Ovis aries: one gene and its partners. The protein of the gene in region 1 purifies or fractionates together with the protein of each later gene. This does not show direct contact. Links are inferred from orthologs where the notes say so. Each region holds a gene or a part of one and is shown in the gene's direction. Other genes may lie near its edges.

Region 1 (2,662 bases):
CTCCTCTTCCCCAGAGTTGGAGATGGCCAAGGCCCGGAACCAACTGGATGCTGTTCTGCAGTGTCTGCTAGAGAAGAGTCACATGGACAGGTTGGGATCTGACCCAGGACAGGGTCATGGGAAGTTGGGGGCCCTAGCGGGTGGGACCCTCTGGTTGTGGGTGGGACCCCAGAGACTGACTTAGGAAGGAAGAGGCCCAGTGGATGAGGCCACTGGGTACTTTCCCACCCTGGGCCCTGGGAACCCTGAGCATGCAGTTCTCTTCTGCTACCAGGGAGCGTCTGGATGAGGAACCTGGGAAGACCTCCTCAGACACCCACAACAAGTAAGTTTTATTGATGGGATCTGTGTCTGAGGGTTTGTGGTAGATAACTTCTTTCCTCATCTGAGCCCTGAGCCCCCTGCCCTGTGCTTTCTCCATCACAGTCTTAACCATTCTTCACGTACAAAAGCCATGGAGCAGCAGAAACTCAGGTCCCCTGATGATGGCACGTCAGCTTGCAAGGGGTGGGACCCAAGGCTGCAGGGTTTGGTGGGATCTCTGAGCTCATTCACAGTACCCCCAGGGTGCTTTTTGAGGGGTTGTGAGCAGGCATTCGTTTAAGGGCAAGCCTGCTAACATGACACCCTGTCTCTCCCCACAGGGATTGCTCCATCACGGCCACTGGCAAACGGTAAGGTGGCAGGGGCCCCACCAGCTGATGAGAGGTCTGTAGTCCCCACCCCGGTCCTGATGTACTCCCTCCCCACACAGGCCATCTGCCCGATTCCCCCACCAGCGGAGGAAGAAGAGGAGGGAGATGGATGAGGGGCTGGCTGAGGGAGGGCCACAGCGATCCAGTGAGTAGGCGGTGGCCCTCGAGGGCAGGCAGTGATTGGGGGGGCTAGGCAAGGATGTTCATACCCTTCCTACTCGCCCCACTCTAGACACCTATGTGATCAAGCTGTTTGACCGGAGTGTGGACTTGGCTCAGTTCAGTGAGAACACGCCACTGTACCCCATCTGCCGAGCCTGGATGCGCAACAGCCCCACAGTGCGTGAGCGTGAACGCTCACCCAGCTCGCCACTGCCTCCCCTGCCTGAGGATGAGGAGGTGAGATGGGTGGTGGGTTCCTGCCCAGCAGCCCAGGAGTGCAATGGGTAGGCAGTCACAAAGCACCCTCCCTGGCAGACAAGAACACCAGTGACTCCTGAATCTGGTGAAGCACATAGATAGGAACCCTTAGGCCAGGGCAAAGGTTGGAGTGCCCTAGAGCAGACAGACATGGCTCTCTGGTCTGAGAGGCAGAGGAGACAGGGTTCCTGGGTAAATAGATGTGCCCTCCAAGATCAGAAGTCACCAAGAGCTGAGAGACTAGGCAGGGGTCCTTAGGGCAACCAGGTATAGCCACCTGGTCTAGGGGAGCAGATGGCAACCCCCTGGGCTAGGAATGGAGGTCTCCATAGATGGAGGTCTCTATGCTGGGCAGGAGTGATCAGGGGTCCCTGGGTTGGACAGGGGTCCTTGGAGCAGACACATGACTCCTAAGTACAAGTCCCTGGAGAAACCTTCATGTCTTTTGTTGCTGGGGAAGGTGTGAAATGATGTCCCTGACCCTCTTCTCTGACTCTGTTGGGTCTGGTGTGGGTCCTTGTATCCCCAGGGTTCTGAAGTCACCAACAGCAAGAGTCGTGATGTGTATAAGCTGCCTCCACCCACAGCTCCTGGGCCACCTGGAGACGCCTGCAGATCCCGAATTCCATCCCCGCTGCAGCCTGAGACCCAGGGTACCCCTGATGATGAGGTGAGTATGCTGGGCTGGCTCAGGGCCATGGGGCAGGTGTTGTGGGGTATGAGTGTGGTCACCCAGCCTGGCCTCTCTGTCATGCAGCCCTCCGAGCCTGAGCCCTCACCCTCCACGCTTATCTACCGTAACATGCAGCGCTGGAAGCGTATCCGCCAGAGGTGAGCATCCCCCCACCAGCTTGTTCTCTGTGGCCTCTGCTCCAACTGCTGAGTCCTCCCTCTGCTTTTCCCCCACCCCCACTGCAGGTGGAAGGAGGCATCTCATCGGAACCAGCTTCGTTACTCAGAGAGCATGAAGATCCTACGGGAGATGTACGAGCGACAGTGATGTTCCCCTGTCCCCACCCTCATCCCAATAAACATTCCTCTCCTCCACACTGGTCTCCATTTACTACAGCCTATCCTTCCTGGATCAGACATAAAACAGTTGGCACAGCTCTAGCACATTTATTGGGGGAGTGGACCTAGGTAGGGGATGGGGCATCAGGGAATTTGAGGAGGGAGAAAGATTGTAGGGAATTAAAGAAAGTGGCTGCTTGGTTGGGTCTTGGAGAATAAGGGGAGGGTGTTGTGGTTGGAGATTTGGGGGGTCAAGACAAAGTGACTGAGGAGTTCTGGATAGCGTGAGATATCTGTGCAGACTCTGGGGAGGAGGGGTAGGTATCTGTACAGTTCGAGGTTGAGGGTTCTGGTTGGCTTAGAATAGGGGTACAAAGGTAGGGTCAGAAAAGGCGTTCAAGGATCTGGGAGTGGCTGGCTGAGGTTTCAGGTTAGAAGATGGGTTGGAGGGAGAGGGTGAGAAGTGGTGTATCTGGTTGGAATGAAGGGAAGGATCCAGAGTCTTGGGGACCAGGCCAGGATGGTCCGGGGTGGGA
Region 2 (4,202 bases), about 11 Mb from region 1:
CACAGACAGGAACTAGATGGCCCCAACCTGGGTGGAGAGGAAGGTGTGCTGATATGGATGCAGACAACATCACAGTGTGAAAACTGTGTTGACAGGCCCTTAGAGGCAGGTATGCCTCTGCAGAGGAGCAAGAGACCATAGGCTATTGTGAGGAGGGTGTGTGGCGGGAGATGGCAGAGAGGGGTGGAAGAGCTATGAAAGCTTGTTTGTCTTGGAGATAAAAGGAGCCATGAAAGGGACTGGTGCTGCTGCTTAGCTGCTTCAGTCGTGTCTCTGTGCCACTCTATGGACTGGAGCCCATCAGGCTCCTCTCTCCATGGGGTTTTCTAGGCAAGAATACTGGAGTGAGTTGCCATGCCCTCCTCCAGTGGAACTGACTACTAGGTAGTAATAATGCTGTGGACACTGGCTACCACCCAAATCCACCCTTCAGGACAAAGACACTCATTCCCCTAGCTGCCCGAAATGTAGGCTAATGAGGTCTCAGATCTGAGTCTCTTGGTCAGTGTTAGGGTATAAGGGCCAGGTAGGCCTTGGAAGGGGTACCCCAGTTTCAGTGCTCCTAGAAGGACAGAGCCCTCCATTTTAACTTCCTCACAGTTTAATTCTCCTCTCTGCCCTGTTTGGCCTGTCTTATTTCCTTACAAGTGTGGCTTCTCAGTAAACTTCCTGCTGGCACATCTCTTTCTCAAAGACTGTTTTCCAAAGAACTTGACCTAAAATAAACTATAATAAATGATAGTGTTAAAAATAACAAAATGATACTAGCAAACACATAATCCTTCCACATGCCAGAAACTGCTCTAAGGGCTTTACATATATTTACACATGGGTAAATATGTTTGCATCGGTTGAAAAGTGGTTTTAATCCCATGGCCTCTGAGCACTGTAGTGTGGAGACAAGAGAAAGGCGAGGCTGGGATCAGGGGAAGAAAGTGGGGATGCAGACAGGTGAATAAGCTAGATGTAGTTAGTGCTTGCTGTTTGGCAGGAACTGAAGGACAGGAATAAGGAGGGTAGGTGATCCCAAGAGAGTGGGGCAGTCTTTTAGGAGCAGGTTTGGGAAAACACATTGGGTTCATCAGGCAGCAGGGTCTCCTCTCCTGAGATGAGGGTTGGGGCACAGTTAGTCGAGTTGGGTCAGGTTTGCCAGCCAGGAAGGTTCCAGTGATTCCTCCTTACTGCTCCTGAGGCTACCCAACGACTTCCTCCACATGCTTCCTCGACCACATCTGTCTTCCGGGATCCTGGGGTTATTTTCGTCCTCTTCGGCGGTTGGACATTTGATGATGGTCCCTCAAGTTTTTCGGCCATGTCTGCTGAGAGGAATTGTGACGGACTCCCTGGAAGGGAACGAAGCGGAAGCGGAAGTAGCGAGGCTGGCGCCGGCGGCCGAGCAGCCAGGAACGGAAGCGGAAGTGGCGGCGGCGCCGGCCTGGCCTGGCCTGGCTGAGGGGAGGCGGCGGGCGGGCGCGATGGCGGAGGCCGGGCCACAGGCGCCGCCGCCCCCAGGCACCCCAAGCCGGCACGAGAAGAGCTTGGGACTTCTCACTACCAAGTTCGTGTCGCTTCTGCAGGAAGCCAAGGACGGTGTGCTTGACCTCAAGCTGGTGCGGCCCGGGCTAAGGGACGACAGGGGGATGGTGGACCAGGCCTGAGCCGGTAGAGGGAACCCCCGGGGCGGCCCAGCTGAGCCCTCAGAGCAGGCCGCCATACATGTGCTTCTCACAAGCGGGAGGCCGGGAGCTGTTTCATTCATTCGGCTAAGGCTGTTCATCGGATGTCAGCTTTGTGGCAAGCTTGAGGCTGCGGGTGGTAGTCCTCGTGGCCCTTTCCAGCAGGTGTGGGGAAAAGAGCATCGGAACATCAGCTCAGGCTTCGTCTGGCCTCTTCCCGCCCCACAGTCCTGAGCTGCTGTAGTGCCTGGGGAGGAGGGCTAGAATTCAGGCCACCCCCTTTCCAGACTACTCCAGACCGAGTCCCCCGTGAGAGTGGGACTGAGCATTTTCCATTCTCTTCTCCTTGCCAGGCAGCTGACACCCTAGCTGTGCGCCAGAAGCGGCGGATATATGACATTACTAACGTGCTGGAAGGTATCGGGTTGATTGAGAAAAAATCCAAGAATAGCATCCAGTGGAAGTGAGTGGGGGCACCGGGGTCGGCAATGGTATCTCCTACCCAGAAGTGTCAGGAGTGTGGGGTGGAGGGTGGCAGAGAGAACAGGGGCTGTAGGACCCAGAGTGCCAGGCAGTCCCTCTTAGCTCTCCTTCCTGGATTCAGGGGTGTGGGTCCTGGCTGCAATACCCGGGAGATTGCGGACAAGCTGATTGAGCTCAAGGCAGAGATCGAGGAGCTGCAGCAGCGGGAGCAAGAACTAGACCAGCACAAGGTGTGGGTGCAGCAGAGCATCCGGAACGTCACAGAGGACGTGCAGAACAGCTGATATCCTCTTATCGGCGGTCCTGGCTCCCGGGGAGTGGGCGATGGGCCCTCTAGTCCAGCTGGGTGTGCTCTGTGTCCCCTAGTCTCTGTCCCACTTGGGAGGATGGTCCTCCAGCTCCTGGCCAGGTTTCAGCCTCCGGTTCCCTCCTCGGAGCCTCTCCACCCACAGTCTTGGCCTGTGATCCCTCCCCCATGTAGACCCCAGGCCTCAGGGCTTCTCTTTGTGAGCATGTATGTCAGACCTCTGCTGCAAAGCTGGGTCTTCGCTGTGTCAGTTATCTGTCACCATAGGCAGGGCATCAGCCATTCTCCTTAACCCCCACACCTTGGCCTACGTGACTCATGAGGACATCTGCAGATGCTTTGCTGGTGAGCAGAGCCTGGGTAGGGGGAAATGGGGGTGGGACTGGGCTGAGCCACAGCCCTGAGCAGTGGACTCGGTGCTTGAGAGATTTCCGTCTCTTAAGAGGGTTCCTGGGGCCTGCTCAAAGAAGAACCAGACAGGGTAAGGCCTAGATTTGAGGATCTCTGGGACCCTATGGAGGCTCACCATGCTGAGAGGGTACAGGAAGCCTGGACTGGGTCTCTGGGTCAGCCACCACCTGCATCGCCCCCTAGGTTTGGCTTCTCAGGTGTGACAGAAGCATACGAGGGGAGAAAGTGTGTGTGCCTGTTTGTATATGCTTGTGTGCAGGGGGCAGTGGTACCCACTTCCAACCTGTAGTTTAGTTGCACTGTAGGTACAGGAACTCTTCCTCGTCCATCTTGCATCTCCCAGGCTGGTTCTGGGGAAGAGCTGTTGGCCTTGGCCAGAACATCTTTGCCTAGGGAGCAGCCCCATCAATTGAATGAGGTGCCCATGGCCACTAATCTCTTGCTCCACATATCTGAACCCAGATTTTCTGGTTACTGACCTTTGGGTTCTTAGGAGAGAAAAAGCTTTAGTTTTCTCCCCCAGCCTCAATAGGGAGTGAGTGAAGCCTACTGTCCGCCCCCTCCGGGACTATGACGTCCTTCCTTGTTCTGAGGGATAGGCACCCCATTCCCAGTTCAAATTGAGCCCATGGGCCTTGATCCATCGTCTTTGTCATCCTAGGAGACACTCTCCTTGCCATCCGGGCCCCGTCGGGCACCAGCCTGGAGGTGCCCATCCCAGAGGTGGGTGCTCAGCCCAGCCGGGTGGGGTGGATTGAGGGCGGGTGCTGGCTGTGGAGCCCGATAAGTCCCGGGTGGGGCAGGTAAGGGGAGGCCTAGGGTTTGAAGTTATCTAGGGGAACGGGCAGCCCAGGGTGGGAGAGGATACTGGCCCTGGCCCAGGGTCAGGCAGGAGCCAAATCTGCTTCCAATTCCACCTGTCCTCCACCCCCACATTCAGGGCCTCAATGGGCAGAAGAAGTACCAGATTCACCTGAAGAGTGTAAGTGGCCCCATTGAGGTGCTTCTGGTGAACAAGGAGGCATGGAGCTCACCACCTGTGGCGGTTCCTGTGCCCCCACCCGAAGACCTGCTCCAGAGCCCGCCTGCTGTCTCTACCCCTCCGCTTCTGCCCAAGCCTGCCCTGGCCCAGCCCCAGGATGCCTCACGCCCGAGCAGTCCCCAGGCAACCACCCCCAACCCTGTCCCCAGCAGCACCGAGGCCCAGGGGGTGGCTGGTCCAGCAGCTGAGATTACAGGTGAGACACAAGGGGTATGTGGTAATGAGGGACTTCGGGGACCCAAGAAGCAATGTTTCTGTGTGACGAGATGAAATACTGAGAGTT
Region 3 (4,072 bases), on another chromosome or scaffold:
CGACTGAGCGACTGAACTGAACTGAAACGAATTTAATGCAACCAATGAATTCTGGGCCTTGGGGATACTGCTGTGAATTGAGGGGCCCCTTGAACTTGACTTCCCTGGTGTCTCAGATGGTAAAGCGTCTGCCTGCAATACGGGAGACCCAGGTTCGATCCCTGGGTTAGGAAGATCTCCTGGAGAAGGAAATGGCAACCCACTCCAGTATTCCTGCTTGGAGAATCCCAGGGACAGAGGAGCCTGGTAGGCTACAGTCCATGGGGTCGCAAAGAGTCGGACACGACTGAGTGACTTCACTCACTTTGAACTTTAGCAAGCCCATAGTTCAAATCAGGACATGCATAAGTCAGCAAGTAGACTGTGGGCTGTGGGCTCTTAAAGGAGCAATAGGAACTAGTTCCGGTGGGAGAAGTGGGAAGTGTATCCGCCCCAGCAACGGCCAGGAGGCTGAAGAGTTTCCTCCCGCTAGGGGCGGGGTGGTGGTCTGGCAGACTGCTATAAACCTGATTGCAGAATATTTTACCCTGAGGGAGAGGACAGAGACTTTAAGTTCTGGAGAGGCAACATCAGGTTTGCTTTTTAGGAGGCTTGCTTTGGGCTGCCAGGAGTCCAGCTGAGGAGCTGGAGCCACTTGAGTTCAAGGCTGGAAAGGAAGAAGGGAGTGGTTTCCAAGTCTCAGCCCTGGCCTAGGTGTAGGTGAGGAGGCCGCTTTGGGGTGGGGGTGAGGGTGTAGGGACATAGGAGCTGCTTGGACTAGCGCTGGGCTCTTAGCACAGGTAGTTTCCCTCGGCCTCACTCTCCCACCCTTGCGGCTCATTCCCTTTTCTCAGTCTTCCCTCCTCCAGGCCTGCCCCAAGGCTCTCGGCCGGGCCTTGCCTCAGTCACCAGGTTGCGGGGTCAAAGCCGCGCCCACGAGCTCCCTGCCCTGGGAGCTTCGGTGCTGTGCCCTCGGGCCTTCAGGCCCCGCCCCGCGCGGCTCGCTGGCCCCGCCCCGAGCACGGCCCTCCCGCTGGCCCCGCCCCGCGTCGCTCGCTGGCCCCGCCCCGCGCACCAGCCCGCCCGCGCGCCTGGCCCGGGCGGCGCCGGCGCGCTTGGCGGGAGATAGAAAAGTGTTTCTGTGAGCGCCGGCGGCGGCCGCAGTCCCCGTGAGCAGCGGCCGGACCTGTGGTCACGCTGACGCCTCGCCACGCGGCCCCGGGGCCCGGAGCGGCCGGAGCAGCTCGCACCCTGACCCCGGCCCGGCTCCCGCTCCGGGCTCGGCCGGCGGGCGGGCGAGCGCGGCGCGGCCCGGGCCGGGGGGATGTCGCGGCGGACGCGCGGGTGAGCGGAGCCGGCCGGCGGAGGGCCCTTCCCCCCTCCCCAGGCGCCATCCTCCTCAGCCCCGACCCCCTCCCCGCACCGCCACCCTCGCCGGGGCTTTTCCGATCCCGGCCCGGCGCGGTTGGGGTCGGCGGAAAACTCAGGTGTCCCGCGTCGCCTGACGCGGGGAGGCGTCGAGGGTGCGCGCGAAGCCGGGGAGCTCTCGGGGGCTCCTCGCTCGGCACCCCCGGGCCTGCTGGGCCTCGGAGCTGGGGCGAGCGGGTCTCCTGGGACCCGGGCCAAGCCTTGTATGATGTCATTTTGTCTCCCGCCTAATTGCGGGGTGGGGGTGGGACGGTGGTGTCAGCTGGAAGGGCCTTTACCGGGGAGGGAGGCGACCCCTGGAGAAGAAAAATTATTTTCGAAGTCGCGGTGAGTGGGAGGCGAAAGCCTGGAAGACGCTTGTCTTTGGAGCCTTTTGGGGGGTCTGGTTTTGCCGGTGGGCATTTCTTAACATTCGGGGAAGCACGGAGCACTCCCGGCTCTCTCCCCTGACCTAGGAGGGTTGCTGGGGCCGGGAGGGACTTTTTGGTCCCTCACCACCTGGGCTCGGGGCCTTAGGTCGGTCTCGCTCCGGAGACCTTCTTCCTGTCCTACGCGCGGGGGTTGGGGCAGCTGGGGTTGAATGCAAGGGGAAGAGAGACTGATCTGTGCCAGCAACCCCTGGGGCGGAGGCAAGAACTGCAGTCTCCATTTTACTTATCCCCCAGAGTTTGAATGGCAGAGACAAGCCAGAAATCAGGTCTGTGGGTTCCATGTTCCTGTCTTACACCTGTTCCTTGAGTGTCTGAGTTCTAGGCTTTTCAACCAGTCTGGGAGTCACACTACAGAACCACAGGGGGTTCTGACCTGTTCCCTCCCAGGATTCCTGTATCCATACCAAATAGCCTGAAATATCTCGCTTCAGGTGATGTTTGCCTTCACAGGCTTCTCAGCAAGGAAACATCTGATCCCTGGGAAGTCATCAGGCACAGGGTGTGTCTTCCTCAGGCCATGGTTTCTCAGAGCAGCTCCAATTCCCAGGAGTTATTTTCTGGGCAGGCGCTGGTCAGGCCCTGAATTTCTGGTTCAGGAAGTGTTCACTCCAGGCAACAAACCCAAAGCCCCTGAAAACCCCCAGGTCTTCTACCATCTATGCCCTGGGGCTCAGTGGAAGAATCCCAGCTCCCAGGTGAGGGATGGGTTCTGCATCCTGGAACCCCACAGCATTCAGTTTGATTCTTGGCCACTTGCTGTAACTCTCTTCTGCACAGTGTCCTACTTCCTGCTCAGCTTCTGACTCACCCCAACTGGAGCAGAGCCCAGCACATGGAAGGGCATAGAAAGGGTGTGTGAGACCTCCACGTGGTTGCACTACTGACTTAGCCTCTGCTTTTCCTGCTGGGATTATCAGATGAGGACCTACAGGTGCAGGTTAACCCCTGCGAGCTTCGTGTGTGCGTGCTAAGTCGCTTCAGTTATGTCTGACTCTTTGCAACCTTATGGGCTGTAGCCTGCCAGATCCCTTTGTCCATGAGATTTTCCAGGCAGGAATACTGGAGAGGGTTGCCGTGCCCTCCAGAGGATCTGCCTGACCCAAGGATTGAACCTGTGTCTTTTATGTTTCCTGCATTGGCAGGCGGGTTCTTTACTGCTAGTGCCACCTGGGAGCTCAGTTTTCACATCTATTAAATGGGGATAATGAGAATGCCTGTGAAGCAGACAATCATTACTGTGATGGCGGTATAAGTATATTAAACCTCACGGAATTGTCCCAGCCGCAGTACTGTCCGCATTAAATAGAGTATTCAAGCTCCAGAGGGTGTTCACACAGAAATCACTTTGTCCTTGAAGGAACATTTGCTGAGCTTCTGTTAGAAGCTGGGTGTCAGAGAACCAAAGATAGTTTCTGTTAGAACAGAGGCCGGGGTCAGTTGATGTTAAAGCCACTTCTTTCTGTTATTAGTATCTTGTAGAATCTCCTATTTTGAAATGGTGGAGTACTCCATGAATTGGGTTGGGAATGACGAGACAAGGTTGAATTCCAGCTCTCATGACAGGTGTTGGTGGGTTTAGACAGCATCTGTCCCTTCCTTACCTCATTCTAAAAGTTGACTTATGTTAGCATTTCTGATCAACTAAGAGGCAGCAGCTTTGCATGTTTATCAGTCATTCATTCCTGTATCTGGCCATTTCCAGAGCAAACATTTCTTAAGGCATTTTGGTGCCATCCTCCAAAGGCAGATACGGAGGTGAAGGTGACCTCTGTCCCGGTTGTCAAGGAGATAGGCATTTGCAACCTAAGGGCCTATGTTATGAGACAGGAGGATTTCCAAGGCGCTCTGGGGAGTGTGGGAGTGACTAGGGAGATGCTGAGAAGGGGAAAGGAGGGTGGCTGCAGAAGGAAGTCCTCTTCCTTCTTTTGATACCTGACCTGTGCTTGGAGACTCATAGACTTTTCCTGCGTAAAAATGCATGCCTGAGGAATGTCCCTGACAGGTCCACCTGAGTTGGGAGGGTGCTCCAGTGAGTCCCAGACATCCCTGGGCGTGGATAGCGTGATCTTCATTTTTGTAAACATTATACCACGTAAATAGGAAGATGTTGGAGTGACTTAGAAAATTACTTATTAGAAAATAAAAACATTCAGAATTCAAAGTTGCTTGTACTCTGATTTTTTGCTCCATAAATTAGGCCTGTGTGAAGGCAAAGATTGAGAAGGGGTATGCAA
Region 4 (3,500 bases), on another chromosome or scaffold:
ACTGGAGTGGTTGCCATTTCCTCCTACAGGGGATATTCCTGACCCAGGAATCAAACCAGCCTCTCTTATGTCTCCTTCATTGGCAGGCGGATTCTTTCAATACTGAGCCACCTAGGAAGCCCTGAGCAAAGGTTTTTGAGCTTAATATGCATTACCTGAGAGGCAGGGTTCCCAGAGATGGGCCATTATGGATAATTTAAGCTTATAGGCAACATCTCTTTAGTGACTAACCTATAATAAAGGTTCTTCCCTATTATATGGCAGTAGGATTTTGCAGTGAAGTGAGATTAAGTTCAACTCCTAGTACAAAAGAGAAAGTAGGAATTTAGCTGATGGGCGTTTGTGTTATTTCTACCTGTTGGCTTTTATGAATATCACTGATGTGAGCATTCAGGTAATATATTATTTTTATAATTAGAAGAAAATTATTTTCTTGTAGGGGTTCATGCAAGAGAATCAAATAATAGAAAATCCTTAGAAAACAATAATATTGAGCCTTGACTCTAGTGGGGAAAAGACAGTTTATTAATTTGTATAGTTACTAAATTTTTATTGAATGTCTACTGAAGCTTTTCCAGTACTGTGCTAGGCAAAGAATCATTTCAAGGGGTTTGCAGCTAACTTGGTGGTTATAACATGCATTTTCCCCCTTGAAATGTCAGCTCTGAACATTCCTAGTTAGCTTCAAGGACTACATTGGTTTTCTTAGAAATAAGACATAAAGGTAGACTTCTGTTAAGGAGTAATGGGCTACAATAGAACTTCCCACTTGTTTGCTAAGGCTGCAAGTCAGAGCTGCTTTCATAACCCCCAGAATTAAGAAGAGATTTTTATTAAACCATAACTATTTCCCCAGTTACCTCAGAAATACAGAGTTGTCAAATTATTGCCAGAGGTAATTTTTATACCTTATAAACATGTTTTGAAAATAGATGACATGTCTGTTACACGCTAATGCCTCAAATTAAGCGTCATAACACTTCTATTCATCTTCTAGTGGGTTTGTAAAAGATGGTTCTGTGTCTGCTAAATCAGAAAGCCAAAGCTATTGCCTTAAACTGTTTGACGTGTAGATGTGTGGGAAGAGAGAAAATTGTGAACCAAATCACTGATTTTTCCTTTTTATCGGGAGGAGACAGAAGTTAGTTGGACTACTTTTCTAATTTAACAGTCACTGCATTCTACCTCTCAGCTTCTACTTTCCCCATAATATTTTGGTTCTTTAACGTAGGCAGAGGTTCAAGAAACCAGGAAGGTTAGCTATTGTAATTTTATTTTAAGATTTATTTCATTCTTCTCTCTCCCACTAGATTCGATATTGCATGAGGACAAAGGCTGTTATTTTAGCATAGTAACTCAGTATCTAGGGCTTTCCTGTTGGCTCTGTTAAAGAATCCACCTGCAGTGCAGGAGACACAGAAAATGCAGGTTCAGTCCCTGGGTCGGGAAGATCCTTGGAGGAGGGCATGGCAGTCCACTCCAGAAATCTTGCCAGGAAAATCCCATGGATAGCGGAGCCTGGCAGACTACAGCCCATAGGGTTGCAAAGAGTCAGACACGACTGAAGCGATTGAGCACACAGTGTAACACAACTCAGCATCTGTTGAACGAGTGAGTAAACCTGATTGTGTCTGTTTGAAATACAAGTCAGACTGTTAAAATTTTTCTCTTTATTAGATATGCAACCATTGTCTCCGATTTCTGTCCATGAACGCTACAGTTCTCCTACTGCTGGGAGTGCTAAGAGAAGACTTTTTGGGGAAGACCCCCCAAAGGAAATGCTTATGGACAGGATCATAACAGAAGGAACAAAATTGAAAATTGCTCCTTCTTCAAGCATCACTGCTGAAAATATATCAATTTCACCCGGGCACAGTCTTCTAACAATGGCCACAGCCATAGTAACAGGGACAACAGGACATAAAGTTACAGTCCCATTGCATGGTAATATTTTGATGCATTTATTTTTTTTTGAAATGAATAAAAATTTAAGAAATGTCTTATTGAATTATATCACATGGTCTTATTACTCCTGTATTTTCTCCCGGACCTGTACTCTTTTTCCTCTAGGAGTAGTTTTAGGTTCATGGCAAAATTGAGTCTTTCTTGCCATCAGTATCCTGCACCAGACTAGCTCATGTATTACAACTGATGAACCTTCATTGTCACATCATTATCACTTTAAGTCCATAGTTTACATTAGTGTTCACTCTCGGTGTTGTACATTCTATGAATTTTGCAAATGTCTAATGACACATATCTACCATTATACTGTTATACAGAATAGTAACACTGCCCTAAAGCTCCTCAGCACTCCCCCTTTAGTTTTGTTTTGAATGTATAGAGGCTTTCCTCATTTTATTGCACTTTGCTTTATTGAACTTTACAGATAACTTTTTTTTCTACAAATTGGATTTGTGGCAACCTTGTGTTGCTGGGTGATGATTAGTATCTTCTTAGCAACAAAGTATTTTTTAACTGAGGTACATACACTTTTTTGAACATAATGCCCATAACACACCCCATAGACTGCAGTATAGCAAAAGCATAATTTTTATATGCCTTGGAAACCAAAAAATTCATGTGAATCATTTTATTATGATATTCACTTTATTGTGGTTCTCTGGAACCAAACTCTTAATATCTCTGAGGTATACCTGCACAGTTTTTTGAATTTTCATATTTTATGGATTTACTACTCTGTTAGGAGTTAGTTTCTTACCTGAGTTTTACAAATGAGTGCGTTGAGCAAGAATTTTGTTTAATGGTTAAAAACATCTCCCTTAGACCACCAAAGAGAACAGTATTATTGTTTCAGAGCAGAAATAGAAAACAAAAATATTATAACCTAGAATTACTATTTTTGTGGCTTTCTTCTTCTACCATTACTATGCACAGATAGATAGTAAACAAGAAGAGGGAGGGAGGGAGGAATGAGCGAAGAAAGAAGTATTGATAACTTTTCTGGGACACATTTCTAAAACTAAGAACTCTTGCTTGTACATTCAGGTATTGCAAATGATGCTGGAGAGATCACACTGATACCAATTTCCATGAATACAACTCAGGAGTCCAAAGTTGAGAGTCCTGTATCACTTACAGCTCAGTCATTAATTGGTGCTTCTCCAAAGCAGACCCATTTGACCAAAGCACAAGAGGTACATCCAGTTGGAATAAGCAAACCAAAGAGAACTGGGTCCTTAGCACTGTTTTATAGAAAGGTATGTATTTTTATAGCATCTAAAAAGATCTCCTTTAATCAGTGCAATAAAGATTGAGTAACAGAGGACAGCTTTGGCCTTTTTTTTGTATGTGGTAAAATATACATAAAATTTACTATTTTAACCATTTTTAAGTGTACAGCTAAGTATCATTAGTACATTCACGTTGTTGTGCAGTTTCCACTACTGTCCATCTCCGGAGCTTTTTCATCTTCCTAAACTGTAATTCTGTACCCATTAACAGTAACTCATTTCTCCCCTCAACCCCCAGTCATCATT
Region 5 (4,066 bases), on another chromosome or scaffold:
CTTGGCACCCATGTTCCAGCTCACTATTCAGAGCATCTCAAAATTAGGGCCACAGAGACATACTGTTCTCTCACCCGTCCAGGTAGATGGGGTTGTTTTCAGGTTCAGTCCCAAGTGCCTGAACACATATGCACCCAAATCTTCATGTGGGGAGGGAGCTCAGTTGCCCATGTCCTCACTAAATCAAATGGATGAGAAACACCTGAAGCACTGCTGCTATCTTCCACTTTAGGGAGAGAAAAACCAGAGCAGGTGTGTAACCCTAAACTCACACTTGTTCATGTCCACACATCCCACACTCACCTTCTGTGGCCCCTACAGCCAGAAGAACACCCATCAGAGCCACATGGAGAAGGTATTTTCTCAGCACCAGATCCATCCTGTTCTTCCTTCCAGCAACCAAAGACTCTGGGGCATTGGACAAACCCCTGTATAAGAAGGGGGTGCTTATTTGCATAGCCCTTCCTCCCCTCCCTCCAGGCAAATCCTGGGAGGAGCAGAAGGATCTGAGAGACAGAACAGAGGAGGGATCCTGGTCCCTGGACATCATGCTACTCATTGACAGTTTCTGGCTTCACAGGGTCAGTCTCATCTTAAAGTACTCCATCTCCCCTCGCGGGGAAAAAATGACTGAAGGGCAGCTACAAAACATAACACGTACCGGACGCACAGGGTTCATCATTGGAGAGTGGATCAATCTATTGTGAGTCAAACCAGGAACCTCTCAAAATAACTGTAGAAGCAGCGACCCTGGGTCCAAAAACAGACAGTATTGGGGTAGGCTGAGAGAAGTGGGACAACGACTCTTCGGAGCCCTAGGAAACCCTTACAATGAGATTTCCAGTTTCCTGCTTTCAGAGGAGGCTCCAGGGCGAGGTGGAATTTAATACATATTTTCCTTAGGGTGGTGAAAACGGTGATTAGAGATCAGGAAATCCCTATAGACTCAGGACACAGAGAGAAAACTCGATCCCAAATCAGATACTTGGAAAAAGGTGTTCAGCCTCCCCATCCAGATAAAAATTTATCCTTAATACTCCTCGGAACCAAAGTTACTCGGGGTGGGGTCGTTTGCAGCGAGGGACACAGGGCTGGCCCCGCCCTCTCTGACGTAGACCAATAGGAAGATCTGAGGGAGGAGCCAGGGAAACGCGGGAAGGAGAGGCGGGGCTTCTGGTGGCGGTAGGGAACTAGAGGGGGGAGGCGGCAATATTGTTTCAAGTTGGACAAATTGACAAGAGCGAGAGATACACTACGTTCCATCCCGACCTCGGGTCGCGGTGCTGGGCCCTGTTTCCCTCCTCGGCCCCCGAGAGCTGGGTGCCGTTTTTTGCAGGTTCCCAGGCCCCAGCTCCAGGGCCGGGCTGACCCGACTCGCTAGCGCTTCATGGAGAACTTCCAAAAAGTGGAAAAGATCGGAGAGGGCACGTACGGAGTTGTGTACAAAGCCAAAAACAAGTTGACGGGAGAAGTGGTGGCGCTTAAAAAAATCCGCCTGGACACGTGAGTGGCCTCTGTACCCGGGAGTCCTGACTCGGGAGCTCCTTGAGTGCCCCCCACCCCCACCGCAACAGGCGGGTAGCCTTCCAGGGACCGGAAGGTAGCAGGGAGGGAAGTCTTTTGAAGTGGAGAGGTGGGTTGAAGGACGAGTAGAGGGTTTCCCGGTGGAGACTATAGGATAGTGTAGAATCCATGGGAAATTTCCTCCCCAGAGGCGGGCGATGTCCCCAAATGTACAGTCAGAAAGTGTCAGGAAGAGGAAGGAGCCTTTTGAGATGGGATCCAGGACTCCCCGACGAGGAGATGGGTTTTGTGATAAGTGGTAAAGAGCACCCTTATAAATGACTAGACCAGCCCTCAGTGCCCCAACCCCACCCGCATCTTAGAATTCTCTCTTTCAAAAGAATGGCAGTTGAACCTTACTGGCACCTCTAGAGAGGCTGGGTGTTGTTACTTCCACACACACACACTTTTCCCCCTTTTAACTTCACCAAGAGGCTTTGCTAACCCAGCCCTGGGCAAAGAAGATATGATGATCTTAATGGGTCTAAAAAGACACTCCTGTCCATCCATGATTTAACCACTGAAGCACCCTTTCTCTCACTTAATTAGGGGATGCTGGGTTGGTGGGGGCTGTGGGTGGGGTGGGGGGAATGACTGTACTGCTGAGGGAAAAGAAATATTTGTAACCACATTCCCATCTCTGCTTTCTCAACTTCTCCAAGTGAGACAGAGGGTGTACCCAGTACTGCCATACGAGAGATCTCTCTGCTTAAGGAGCTTAATCACCCTAATATTGTCAAGTAAGTATGTATCTGGGAGGTGGGAGGTGCTCTGACAGTAAAGGAGAATGTCTTCTGTTTGTATTGTCTGGGCCTTTCTCTCCCTCACGTGTATTCCTGGACCTCCCCCTTCCCTAGGCTGCTGGATGTCATTCACACAGAAAACAAACTCTACCTTGTTTTTGAGTTTCTGCACCAGGATCTCAAGAAATTCATGGATGCCTCTGCACTCACTGGCATTCCTCTTCCGCTCATAAAGGTACTCCTTCTCATCAACTCCTCCCCAACATGGGCATGTTTTGGGAGTCCGGACTGAAAGCAGGCAATCCGGACTGAGTGTTGATTTATCTTGGTTTCCTTCCCAGCCCTCACCCCCCTACACACACACACGCACACACCTTTTCTTGTGGCTCTTTCACTGCTCATTATGCTTTTAACCCTAGGGCTGGGCAGGGGAATCAAAGAAGTTGAAACTCTAGTAAGTCAACTTAGCAGCTCAGGTGGAAGGTTCTTGAGATGAAACTCGGATAAATGGGACTGGGGGGTACTTGGTAGATGCCTCCAGAAAGCCCTTCCACCTGTTTGGTGGGAGAAATAGCCAGTGAGTCTCTGTTGTCCATTTTTCTGGGTTCCTTACTCCGGAAGCTACTTTCGATCAACCAACAAACATCCAACACACATTTATTGAACACTTTCAATGTGCTGGTCCACGCTATGGAACATAAATGCAAAACTGAATGAGACCTGATCTTATCCTCAATGGGTTGACAGTCCAACTGGAGAAATAGCTTGAAAACATAATTACAATTTAACTAGTAAAGGCTTTAGTAGAACTTTGGAGTTACAGAGGAGACCCTAATCTGCTCACGGTGGTGGAAAAACAGAGTCTTTTCTTTCCCCTTGTCAGAGCTACTTGTTCCAGCTGCTCCAGGGCCTAGCTTTCTGCCACTCTCATCGGGTCCTGCACCGAGACCTTAAACCTCAGAATCTGCTTATCAACGCAGATGGGTCCATCAAGCTAGCAGACTTCGGACTAGCCAGAGCTTTTGGGGTCCCTGTTCGTACTTATACCCACGAGGTGAGTCCTCCTCTGCATGTCTTCTCTGAACTTCCTGGGAGGTGTTAACAAGGACATTCATAGAGTTTTTAGTAACGATCTGGCCAGCAGTTTCTCACTAGATGGAAAGTATTTCTGACACCACAAGAGGTCTTAGAGTATGCACAGAATTCATATATTGATAGATACCGAGCCAGGAGACAGGTGGAAGGCATGAAATTTAAAATTATGACCATTTGCCTCAAGTTTTCCAAGAAGGTTGCAAATTGAGGGTTCAGAATATATGTTCCCCAGAACCATGGATTAGGCTAACTCTGGGCTAAGAAGTTGTACCCAGTTATTTTACTTAGGGGCAATGAGAGTAAAGGGAAGGATGGAGGGATAGAAGTTGCTTGTGAAGAAATTGAGTTAGCAGAATAGTGTTTAGAAACTGACGTGTGGATATCTTCATGTCCTGTACTCTTTTCCTCAGGTGGTGACTCTGTGGTACCGAGCACCGGAAATCCTTCTGGGCTGCAAATACTACTCCACAGCAGTGGACATATGGAGCCTCGGTTGCATCTTTGCTGAGATGGTATGGAGGCATGCCCATGGTCTACTCAGCCCACTCCTTCCCACACTCAAGAACAACAGAACTGTTTCTTGGCCCAGACCCATGGTCCTTCTCTTATCACAGGGTTCTTCCTTTAGAGTAGCACAAAGGGGGTCATGGAGAAAGGAGAGGGCT
Region 6 (3,500 bases), about 24 Mb from region 1:
GCAAATTTGGGAAACTCAGCAGTGGCCGTAGGACTGGAAAAGGTCACTTTTCATTCCAATCCCAAAGAAAGGCAAGGCCAAAGAATGCTCAGACTACCGCACAACTGCACTCATCTTACACACTAGCAAAGTAATGGTCAAAAGTCTCCAAGCCAGACTTCAGCAGTATGTGAACCATGAACTTCCAGATGTTCAAGCTGGTTTTAGTAAAGGCTGAGGAACCAGAGATCAAATTGCCAACATCTGTTGGATCATCAAAAAAGCAAGAGAGTTCCAGAAAAACATCTATTTCTGCTTTATTGACTATGCCAAAGCCTTTGACTGTGTGGATCACCACAAACTGGAAAATTCTGAAAGAGATAGGAATACCAGACCACCTGACCTGCCTCCTGAGAAATCAGTATGCAGGTCAGGAAGAAACAGAACTGGACATGGAACAGCAGACTGGTTCCAAATAGGGAAAGGAGTACATCAAGGCTGTTTATGGTCACCCTGCTTATTTAACTTATATGCAGAGTACATCATGAGAAACGCTGGGCTGGATGACGCACAAGCTGAATCAAGATTGCTGGGAGAAATATCAATAACCTGATATGCAGATGACACCACCCTTCTGGCAGAAAGTAAAGAAGAACTAAAGAGCCTCTTGATGAAAGTGAAAGAGGAGAGTGAAAAAGTTGGCTTAAAGCTCAACATTCAGAAAACTAAGATCATGGCAACTGGTCCCAGCACTTCATGGCAAATGGATGGGGAAACAGTGGAAACAGTGGCAGACTTTGTTTTTTGGGGCTCCAAAATCACTGCAGATAGTGACTGCAGCCATGAAATTAAAAGGTGCTTACTCCTTGGAAGTAAAGTTATGACTGACCTAGACAGCGTATTAAAAAGCCAAGACATTACTTTGCCAACAAAGGTCTGTCTGGTCAAGGCTATGGTTTTTCCAGTAGTCATGTATGGAGAGTTGGACTATAAAGAAAGCGAGCGCCAAAGAATTGATGCGTTTGAACTGTGGTGTTGGAGGAGACTCTTGAGAGTCCCTTGGACTACAAGATCCAACCAGTCCATCCTAAAGGAGATCAGTCCTGAATATTCAATGGAAGGACTGATGCTGAAGCTGGTACTCCCAAAACTTTGGCCACCTGATGTGAAGAACTGACTCATTTGAAAAGACCCTGATGCTGGAAAAGATTGAAGGTGGGAGAAGGGGATGACAGAAGATGAGATGGTTGGATGGCATCCCTGACTCAATGGACATGAGTTTGAATAAACTCCAGAAGTTGGTGATGGACAGGGAGGCCTGGCAAGCTGCAGTCCATGGGGTCACAAAAAGTCAGACACGACTGAGCAACTGAACTAAGACTAATGTTTTTTAAATAAATTTAGAAGGTTTCAGCCTTTGAACATTTCTTCCTGCTTCACTCCTTCTGGTACTCCCATTATGTGACCTTGATGTGCTTAATGGTATGCCCCATTTCTCTGAAGCACTTTTAATTTTTCTTCATTCTATCCTCTGCTCTGTGAACGATTCCATCTCAGGTTTATTAAACTTTTCCTTTGCCAGTTCAAATCTAGTTTTTCATTCGTCTAATGAATTTTCTGTCACTATGGTTTATTCTAGGTCTTGATTCAGATACCACATATTCCTTCTGTTGTTACTGAATTAGTAGATTTACTTGAATATATAGTTCTTCATTTGTTGTATGCTTTTTAGAGACATTTCCAGAGACTTTAAATGGTTGTTTTTTAATGCGATTTTCACCAGTGTCACTGGGGAGCAGGTTCAGGAATCATCTCATACTATATTAGGCTAGAAGTCAAATTCATTCTCAGTGTACCCTTATTCTTTGCCAGGTCACAAAAGAAGACAAGTCCTTCCAGAATATTATGCGTTGCTATAGGACTCAGCCACAGGCCCGGAGCCAGGTAACTACATTTTCCCTCAGGGCTGAAAATAAAGATGAAAGTCTTTTTGATTCATATAAAAAAATTAACTATAAGAGGCTCCAAGTGATTCTGTAGCCTCTTCTCCAGGATAAAAAATAGGACTCTATTTTAATCTTATTTAATTATTGACAGCCACACATCTTGATTAGTTTAAGTTCTCTTTTCCCCCAAAGTTAATGATGTAAAATATTTGATTCCTTTTTAATTCAGATAATTACAAGATAGATGTAAATTAGGAAGCTGCTGTTTGGATTCTATGTCACCTTGAATTCAGTCTGGTTTAGGACACACAGTGCTACACATTTAACCAAAATAGCATTAAGTGAAATTTTAAAACCCATTTTACCTTTAATGCTATATAGGTGTCTCGAAGAAATAGGTCGGTACGATCTTTGTATCTGACTTAGAATGACTTGATTTTATAATTAGGTATTATTGCTGCTCTGTAGTATTGTAGGCAGCACTTGGAAGTTGAAGCCTGACAGGCCCTGATACATAACCTTGGCTGCATTTACACACCTCCCCTGAGCAGGACAGCTATTACTGTAGGGAACTGTGAGAATTAAATGATGTGAAAGCTGTGTAGTCTAGGATGTGCTCAGTAGATACTGCTCTGTCGCCTTATCATGCTCTGCTTAAAGGTGTATAGAAGTGTTTTGATAAAAGGGAAAAGGAGAAGAAGAAATTCTGGCAGCAGTGACAGCAGAAGCCATCAGAATTCTCCGACAGAACTAAACAGGGACAGAAGTAAGTGGGATCTTTATGGATGCATACAACTAAATTAGCAGCTCCTCTTTTTGTTAGGTCTAGGACTAAAGAATTACTAAAATTACTGTTGTAGAAACTGTGAAAACAGTTTATTGGGAAAAGATTTGTTGGAACAATAAACAATTCTAAATTTAGTAGCAAAGTTGTCCTTTATTCCATGGTTTTGAGACACACTGTGCATAAACATTTTTCTTTAGGGGTACTAGAAAAGGTTAGGGAAGACAGGCATTTGTTGACCTGAGTTCCAGAAAAATGTGGCATGTCAACAGAAACCATGCTATGGAAATACCATCCTTAATTGCTGGTTTATACCACTTAATGCAGGGCTCGGTCCTAGAAAACTGGTGTCAATTAATGAATACTTGCTACAATTAATGAATACTTGGTGTCAATTAATCAGGCCCTTGCTACATTAATAGCATGATAGTAGTTAGTGGGGCTTCCCAGGTAGCTCAGTGGTAAAGAATCCACTTGCCAATGAAGGAAAGCAGAAGATGTCGGTTCGACCCTTGGGGTGAGAAGACCCCCTGGAGCATGGCAACCTGCTCAAGTATTCTTGCTGGGATAAACGTATGAACAGAGAAGCCTGGTGGGCTACATCCAGTGGATTCGCAAAGAGTCGGACACAGCTGAACATGCACACACACAGAGTTAGTACTAAATCCCTTGTCTGTGCTTTGCTCCTCGGTGTAGAGGGCCCATTTGCTGCCGTTTAACAAGGAGAACGGGTAGCTGTTCACCCTCCTCTTCCTGAAGTTTCTTTTTAAAAGCAAACTGCACCAGCAGTC
Region 7 (4,061 bases), on another chromosome or scaffold:
TATTTAAGACTTCGAATTCAGATTTTCAAGGGATTAGAAAACTTTCTCTCTCTTCAAAGGAGAGTTTAACGGGGGTGGGGGTAAGGCTTTGTATCAGGCCCACAAAGAAAGGGGGCGCAGTGACAGGCGGGCGTTCTCCTGGGAAGCCCGGGTCAGCCTTCTAACGGAACACGGAGCAGCACCATCTCCCCGTGCTGTCCCGGAAGACACAGTGACGGTGCAGCCCCAGGGAGGAGGAGCAAGTGGACACTGGTGGAAGGCTCTCTAAGACCGCAACTTCTGGCACACTCCCCAGAGCAGGCAGGACTGACGGACACACGCGTGGGGTCATCACCCGCCTAGGTCACGTCTCTGCCAGCCTAGGGGTTTCAAGGCGAGATGTGGCCAAAAACATTTGGATCTTCAACCAAAATTACGTTGTCACCTTTCAACAGAGGTACAGGCGTTCTGTAGGGTAACTGACTATAAAGGCAGAGGTTCCGAGAAAGCCAGAGGTTTGTTTCAATGCTGCGGCAGCGCTAGCGAGCTCAGAGTGTTTCACGAGTGATTTCTGTGCAGAAATGATTTTGAATATGAGAGCTAGTTATCCCCTGTAAATACTGGTCAATGACTGGACTCTCGAATCTGTGGGGAGAGGACTCGGGTTCGGACTCTGATCCTGTGTTTCTCCTCTCTCCAAGCACCCAGCCCTCACCCAGAGGCTTGTCCGTCTGTGCACCTGAGCCCCAGGGAGCGGCTTCTGGCTGCCACATGGGGGTGAAGACTCCAACACAGTGAGAAAGACGGAATTTCTTGGAAAGAGCAGTGGGGTGAGGAACACAGACTTTCTGAGAAACAGAACGGGGTGGGAGGTGCAGGCACCACAGCCCTCCCAGTGGGGAGCTATGCATGTTTCTCCACAGGGAGGCAGAGGTGTCCAGCCTGCAGGGACAGAGGACGGTCCCTCCGAAGCCTTTTACTCCCCACTCCTCCCGCCGGGTCTTCATCACCCCTGTTGCTCTAAGTGTAGAAAGCATACCGATCAGCAGGAAGAATGGGAAGATTCCTGCTTTTCAAGAAACCAACGCTAATTAAGGGTAAGAGTTCAAGACTGGAGTGGCTTGCCAGAGAAGCAGGTTGAAAGTGGTTAAACTGTGGAACCGTCCCAGGCAGCGTGTAAGGCGATAGCTCAAGTCCTCTGTGCCCCATGAACTCTGGACTCGGCCCCCACGCCCCGCCTGCCCTGGCTGGGCTGATGGTGAACCGCCGGGGGCAAGTCTCCAGGGTCAGACTCCACTCAGCCCAGGCCACCTGGTGATAAGGAGCAGGCCGGCACCCTTCCGTCCAGAAGACTCAGAGCCTGGGCAGAGGCCGGGCGTGGGCGTGGAGACCTCGGGCTGGGCAGGAACAGGTGAGCACTCGGCGGACAGGGCACTGCGCGTGCACACGCTGTCACCTCCGAGCATCTGCACGAGCACACACCCGACCTCCTCTTCCTGTGCACACACATGCACCCGCTCAAACACGCCTGCGGGCACAACTCCAGCCTGCCTTGCTCCTCCAAGAGCACACTCACTGTGCGCTACTCGAGCCCGCTCCCCCGAGTGCGCACATCTGCACGCGCGCGCGCACACACACACTTCTGGCCTCTGTGCACACTCTCGCATCCATCCGCTACTACTGGCTGTGCACACACGCACGCGCACCCCCATCCCTGGCCCCGTGTGTGTACACACTCATCTCCACACCTTCCACTGGTTCCCAAGTGCCGACGGAGTGCGCACACACCCCCAGCCCGTGACGCCCAGGAGCATGCACGTCCACACACACCAGGCCTCGGTCCCCGTGTGCGCACAGGTGCACACGTCCCAGTTCCTATCCCCAGGGTGCACACACACGCACGCGCACCCCCATCCCTGTGCCCCGTGTGCGCACGTGTGCACACATCCCTGACTCAGCTCCCCCGCACGCGCACCGCGGAGTCCCGGGCCAGGCCCTCCTCTCCATCCGCAGCCGGCGCGCGCGCACACGCGGGCACGCGCGCACACGCGGGCACGCGCCGGAGCAGCTCATCTCCTCCAAGCGCGGGCCGCCCGGCGGGAGGAGAGTGGGGGGCGGGGGGGGGGAGGAGGAGGAGGAGGAGGAGGAGGAGGAGGGCGCCGAAGGCGCGAAAAGGCGCGCAGGCGCGCTGCGGGAGCCGGGCCGCCGCCCACGTCACCGCGCCGCGCACGTCACGCCGCCCGACGCTCGCAGGGTGAGCCCCGCGCCCGGCGCCTCGGCAGGGCAGGGACCCCGGCCGAGCGCCGCCGGGCCCGCCGCCCCCCGCCCGCCGCCCGCGGCTGCGCGCCCGCCGCCCGCGCCGCCCGCCCGCCAGGTGCGGCGGGCCGGGGTCCCCAGGGGCGCGCGCCGGGCGCCCGGCCGCGCCGCCCCCGCCCCGCGCCGCGTGCGCCCCGGGCCCCCCGCGCGCCGGGCCCGCCGCCGGGGCGCCCCGGTGACCCCCGCGGGGGGCGCGGGCCGGGGCGCGGGCGGGGCCTGCGCGCAGCCTCCGGGCGGAGCGGCGCGCGCGCCGGGCGGGGGTCGGGGCGGGGCGGGCGCGCGGGGCCGGGGGCCGAGGACGGGGCGCGGGCCCCACCTGCCCGCCGGCTGCCGGCCGCGGCGCGCGGGGGGCGCTCGCGGGAGGCGGCCGCGGCCTAGCGCCAGGCCGGAGGCCGCGGCCCCGGACGCCCACCTGTCAGAGTTACCGGTCGGCCGGTGGTCGCGGGTGGGCCCCGGGGGCGTCCGCGGGGAGCGCGTGCGCGCGGGGCCGCTCCGGGTGGGGTGGGGGGGGGGCATCGGGCCGCGGTGCCAGGCTGGTCCACGCCGGGTCTTTGTGCGCCTCGGGGAGGCCGGCGGGCAGCCGGGTTGTGGACGCTTCCCTGCCTGAGATGACTTTAGAGTGCCCGGGCGGGGGGCGTTTCTGGGCCGCCCCCCGCACCCCCCGCCCCGGGACGGAGCGAGGGCTTGGAGAGGAAGGGACTCCTGCCGCTTAGATGGGTGGTGATGCTGAGGGGACGGTGGCGGTGTCAGCTTCTCGTTTCAGCCTGGCTCATGACTCCCCTCTCCTTCTTTTTACCAGGAAAACCATTTTTCTTTTCTGGAGGGTGACCGTTACTAGCATCGATTTCACGGAACTGGTAACATGGCAAAAGATGTGAGTACGTGTGTCTGCTTTGTGCTGGACCGATGTTTGCCCAGCACTGCGTTCTCGGTCACTCCCCACCTTGTTTCAGAATGACCACACATAAACTGCGGGCCTGTCGGTGTTCAGACCTTTCCAGCAAAGAGACACAGTAAAGGTGAGGAGGCGGGGACAGCCGGTGGCGCTGCGCGCGGCCTGAGCCATGCTGGCCTCTGCCTGGGCCACGCAGGCCTGAGCGGTGGAGGCTGTGTCTCGAGGCTGGCCGCCGCCGGCCCCTGGGTCTCTTGGAGGCTGGTTGGAGGCTGGCCGACGCCACGCTCCTGGGTCTCTTGGAGGCTGCGTCTCGAGGCTGGCCGCCGCCGGCTCCTGGGTCTCTTGGAGGCTGGTTGGAGGCTGGCCGACGCCACGCTCCTGGGTCTCTTGGAGGCTGCGTCTCGAGGCTGGCCGCCGCCGGCTCCTGGGTCTCTTGGAGGCTGGTTGGAGGCTGGCCGCCGCCGGCCCCTGGGTCTCTTGGAGGCTGGTTGGAGGCTGGCCGCCGCCGGCCCCTGGGTCTCTTGGAGGCTGGTTGGAGGCTGGCCGCCGCCGGCCCCTGGGTCTCTTGGAGGCTGGTTGGAGGCTGGCCGCCGCCACGCTCCTGGGTCTCTTGGAGGCTGGCTGACTTGTGAATCAGCCAGGGCTCTGTGAGAGGACCCCCTGCCTGTGGAGGCGCGGGGCTGGCGAGCCTCCCTGAGCAGCTGCTTTGTGTGCCCCCCGGGAGTTAGTTCAGCTTCCACCCATGAAGACGCTCAGCACTGGACTTGGCAACTGTTTTTCTCAGAAAAAAATGAAATGTGATAAACAGAATGTGAACAATTCTGCTTTGTTTACATTTGTTGTGAACCCATAGAACATCGTGAGTAAACTT

The links.
Region 2: the proteins of LIN37 (region 1) and E2F4 purify together in Homo sapiens (co-immunoprecipitation; 4 studies listed by BioGRID and IntAct, with this or other methods). This does not show direct contact. The link is inferred for Ovis aries from reciprocal best matches to the Homo sapiens genes LIN37 and E2F4.
Region 3: the proteins of LIN37 (region 1) and MYBL2 purify together in Homo sapiens (affinity purification with mass spectrometry; 6 studies listed by BioGRID and IntAct, counting the BioPlex papers as one, with this or other methods). This does not show direct contact. The link is inferred for Ovis aries from reciprocal best matches to the Homo sapiens genes LIN37 and MYBL2.
Region 4: the proteins of LIN37 (region 1) and RBL1 purify together in Homo sapiens (affinity purification with mass spectrometry; 3 studies listed by BioGRID and IntAct, with this or other methods). This does not show direct contact. The link is inferred for Ovis aries from reciprocal best matches to the Homo sapiens genes LIN37 and RBL1.
Region 5: the proteins of LIN37 (region 1) and CDK2 purify together in Homo sapiens (affinity purification with mass spectrometry; 3 studies listed by BioGRID and IntAct, with this or other methods). This does not show direct contact. The link is inferred for Ovis aries from reciprocal best matches to the Homo sapiens genes LIN37 and CDK2.
Region 6: the proteins of LIN37 (region 1) and RBL2 purify together in Homo sapiens (affinity purification with western blotting; 5 studies listed by BioGRID and IntAct, with this or other methods). This does not show direct contact. The link is inferred for Ovis aries from reciprocal best matches to the Homo sapiens genes LIN37 and RBL2.
Region 7: the proteins of LIN37 (region 1) and TFDP1 purify together in Homo sapiens (co-immunoprecipitation; 3 studies listed by BioGRID and IntAct, with this or other methods). This does not show direct contact. The link is inferred for Ovis aries from reciprocal best matches to the Homo sapiens genes LIN37 and TFDP1.

What each region holds. Positions count from the first base shown.
Region 1 is NC_056067.1:45,772,032-45,774,693, forward strand, and holds the end of LIN37 (protein lin-37 homolog), read left to right. Parts: intron 1-14; coding exon 15-90; intron 91-274; coding exon 275-325; intron 326-644; coding exon 645-674; intron 675-754; coding exon 755-840; intron 841-927; coding exon 928-1,094; intron 1,095-1,644; coding exon 1,645-1,950; 3' UTR 1,951-2,033; coding exon of another isoform or gene 2,034-2,115; 3' UTR 2,116-2,162; downstream 2,163-2,662.
Region 2 is NC_056067.1:34,395,840-34,400,041, forward strand, and holds the start of E2F4 (transcription factor E2F4), read left to right. Parts: upstream 1-1,402; 5' UTR 1,403-1,475; coding exon 1,476-1,610; intron 1,611-2,029; coding exon 2,030-2,139; intron 2,140-2,280; coding exon 2,281-2,442; intron 2,443-2,767; coding exon 2,768-2,811; intron 2,812-3,538; coding exon 3,539-3,600; intron 3,601-3,817; coding exon 3,818-4,115; intron 4,116-4,202. UniProt on the Homo sapiens protein: Transcription activator that binds DNA cooperatively with DP proteins through the E2 recognition site, 5'-TTTC[CG]CGC-3' found in the promoter region of a number of genes whose products are involved in cell cycle regulation or in DNA replication.
Region 3 is NC_056066.1:72,197,176-72,201,247, forward strand, and holds the start of MYBL2 (myb-related protein B), read left to right. Parts: upstream 1-1,272; 5' UTR 1,273-1,303; coding exon of another isoform or gene 1,304-1,323; 5' UTR 1,324-1,612; coding exon 1,613-1,734; intron 1,735-4,072. UniProt on the Homo sapiens protein: Transcription factor involved in the regulation of cell survival, proliferation, and differentiation. Transactivates the expression of the CLU gene.
Region 4 is NC_056066.1:66,021,735-66,025,234, reverse strand, and holds part of RBL1 (retinoblastoma-like protein 1), read left to right. Parts: intron 1-1,677; coding exon 1,678-1,944; intron 1,945-3,009; coding exon 3,010-3,221; intron 3,222-3,500. UniProt on the Homo sapiens protein: Key regulator of entry into cell division. Directly involved in heterochromatin formation by maintaining overall chromatin structure and, in particular, that of constitutive heterochromatin by stabilizing histone methylation.
Region 5 is NC_056056.1:163,556,693-163,560,758, reverse strand, and holds the start of CDK2 (cyclin-dependent kinase 2), read left to right. Parts: upstream 1-1,266; 5' UTR 1,267-1,387; coding exon 1,388-1,503; intron 1,504-2,225; coding exon 2,226-2,303; intron 2,304-2,420; coding exon 2,421-2,541; intron 2,542-3,189; coding exon 3,190-3,360; intron 3,361-3,811; coding exon 3,812-3,913; intron 3,914-4,066. Other genes in the region: melanocyte protein PMEL, read right to left, coding at 304-379. UniProt on the Homo sapiens protein: Serine/threonine-protein kinase involved in the control of the cell cycle; essential for meiosis, but dispensable for mitosis. Phosphorylates CABLES1, CTNNB1, CDK2AP2, ERCC6, NBN, USP37, p53/TP53, NPM1, CDK7, RB1, BRCA2, MYC, NPAT, EZH2.
Region 6 is NC_056067.1:21,330,667-21,334,166, forward strand, and holds part of RBL2 (retinoblastoma-like protein 2), read left to right. Parts: intron 1-1,851; coding exon 1,852-1,923; intron 1,924-2,585; coding exon 2,586-2,691; intron 2,692-3,500. UniProt on the Homo sapiens protein: Key regulator of entry into cell division. Directly involved in heterochromatin formation by maintaining overall chromatin structure and, in particular, that of constitutive heterochromatin by stabilizing histone methylation.
Region 7 is NC_056063.1:86,051,571-86,055,631, forward strand, and holds the start of TFDP1 (transcription factor Dp-1), read left to right. Parts: upstream 1-1,261; 5' UTR 1,262-1,390; intron 1,391-2,207; exon of another isoform or gene 2,208-2,353; intron 2,354-2,628; exon of another isoform or gene 2,629-2,740; intron 2,741-3,094; 5' UTR 3,095-3,157; coding exon 3,158-3,169; intron 3,170-4,061. UniProt on the Homo sapiens protein: Can stimulate E2F-dependent transcription.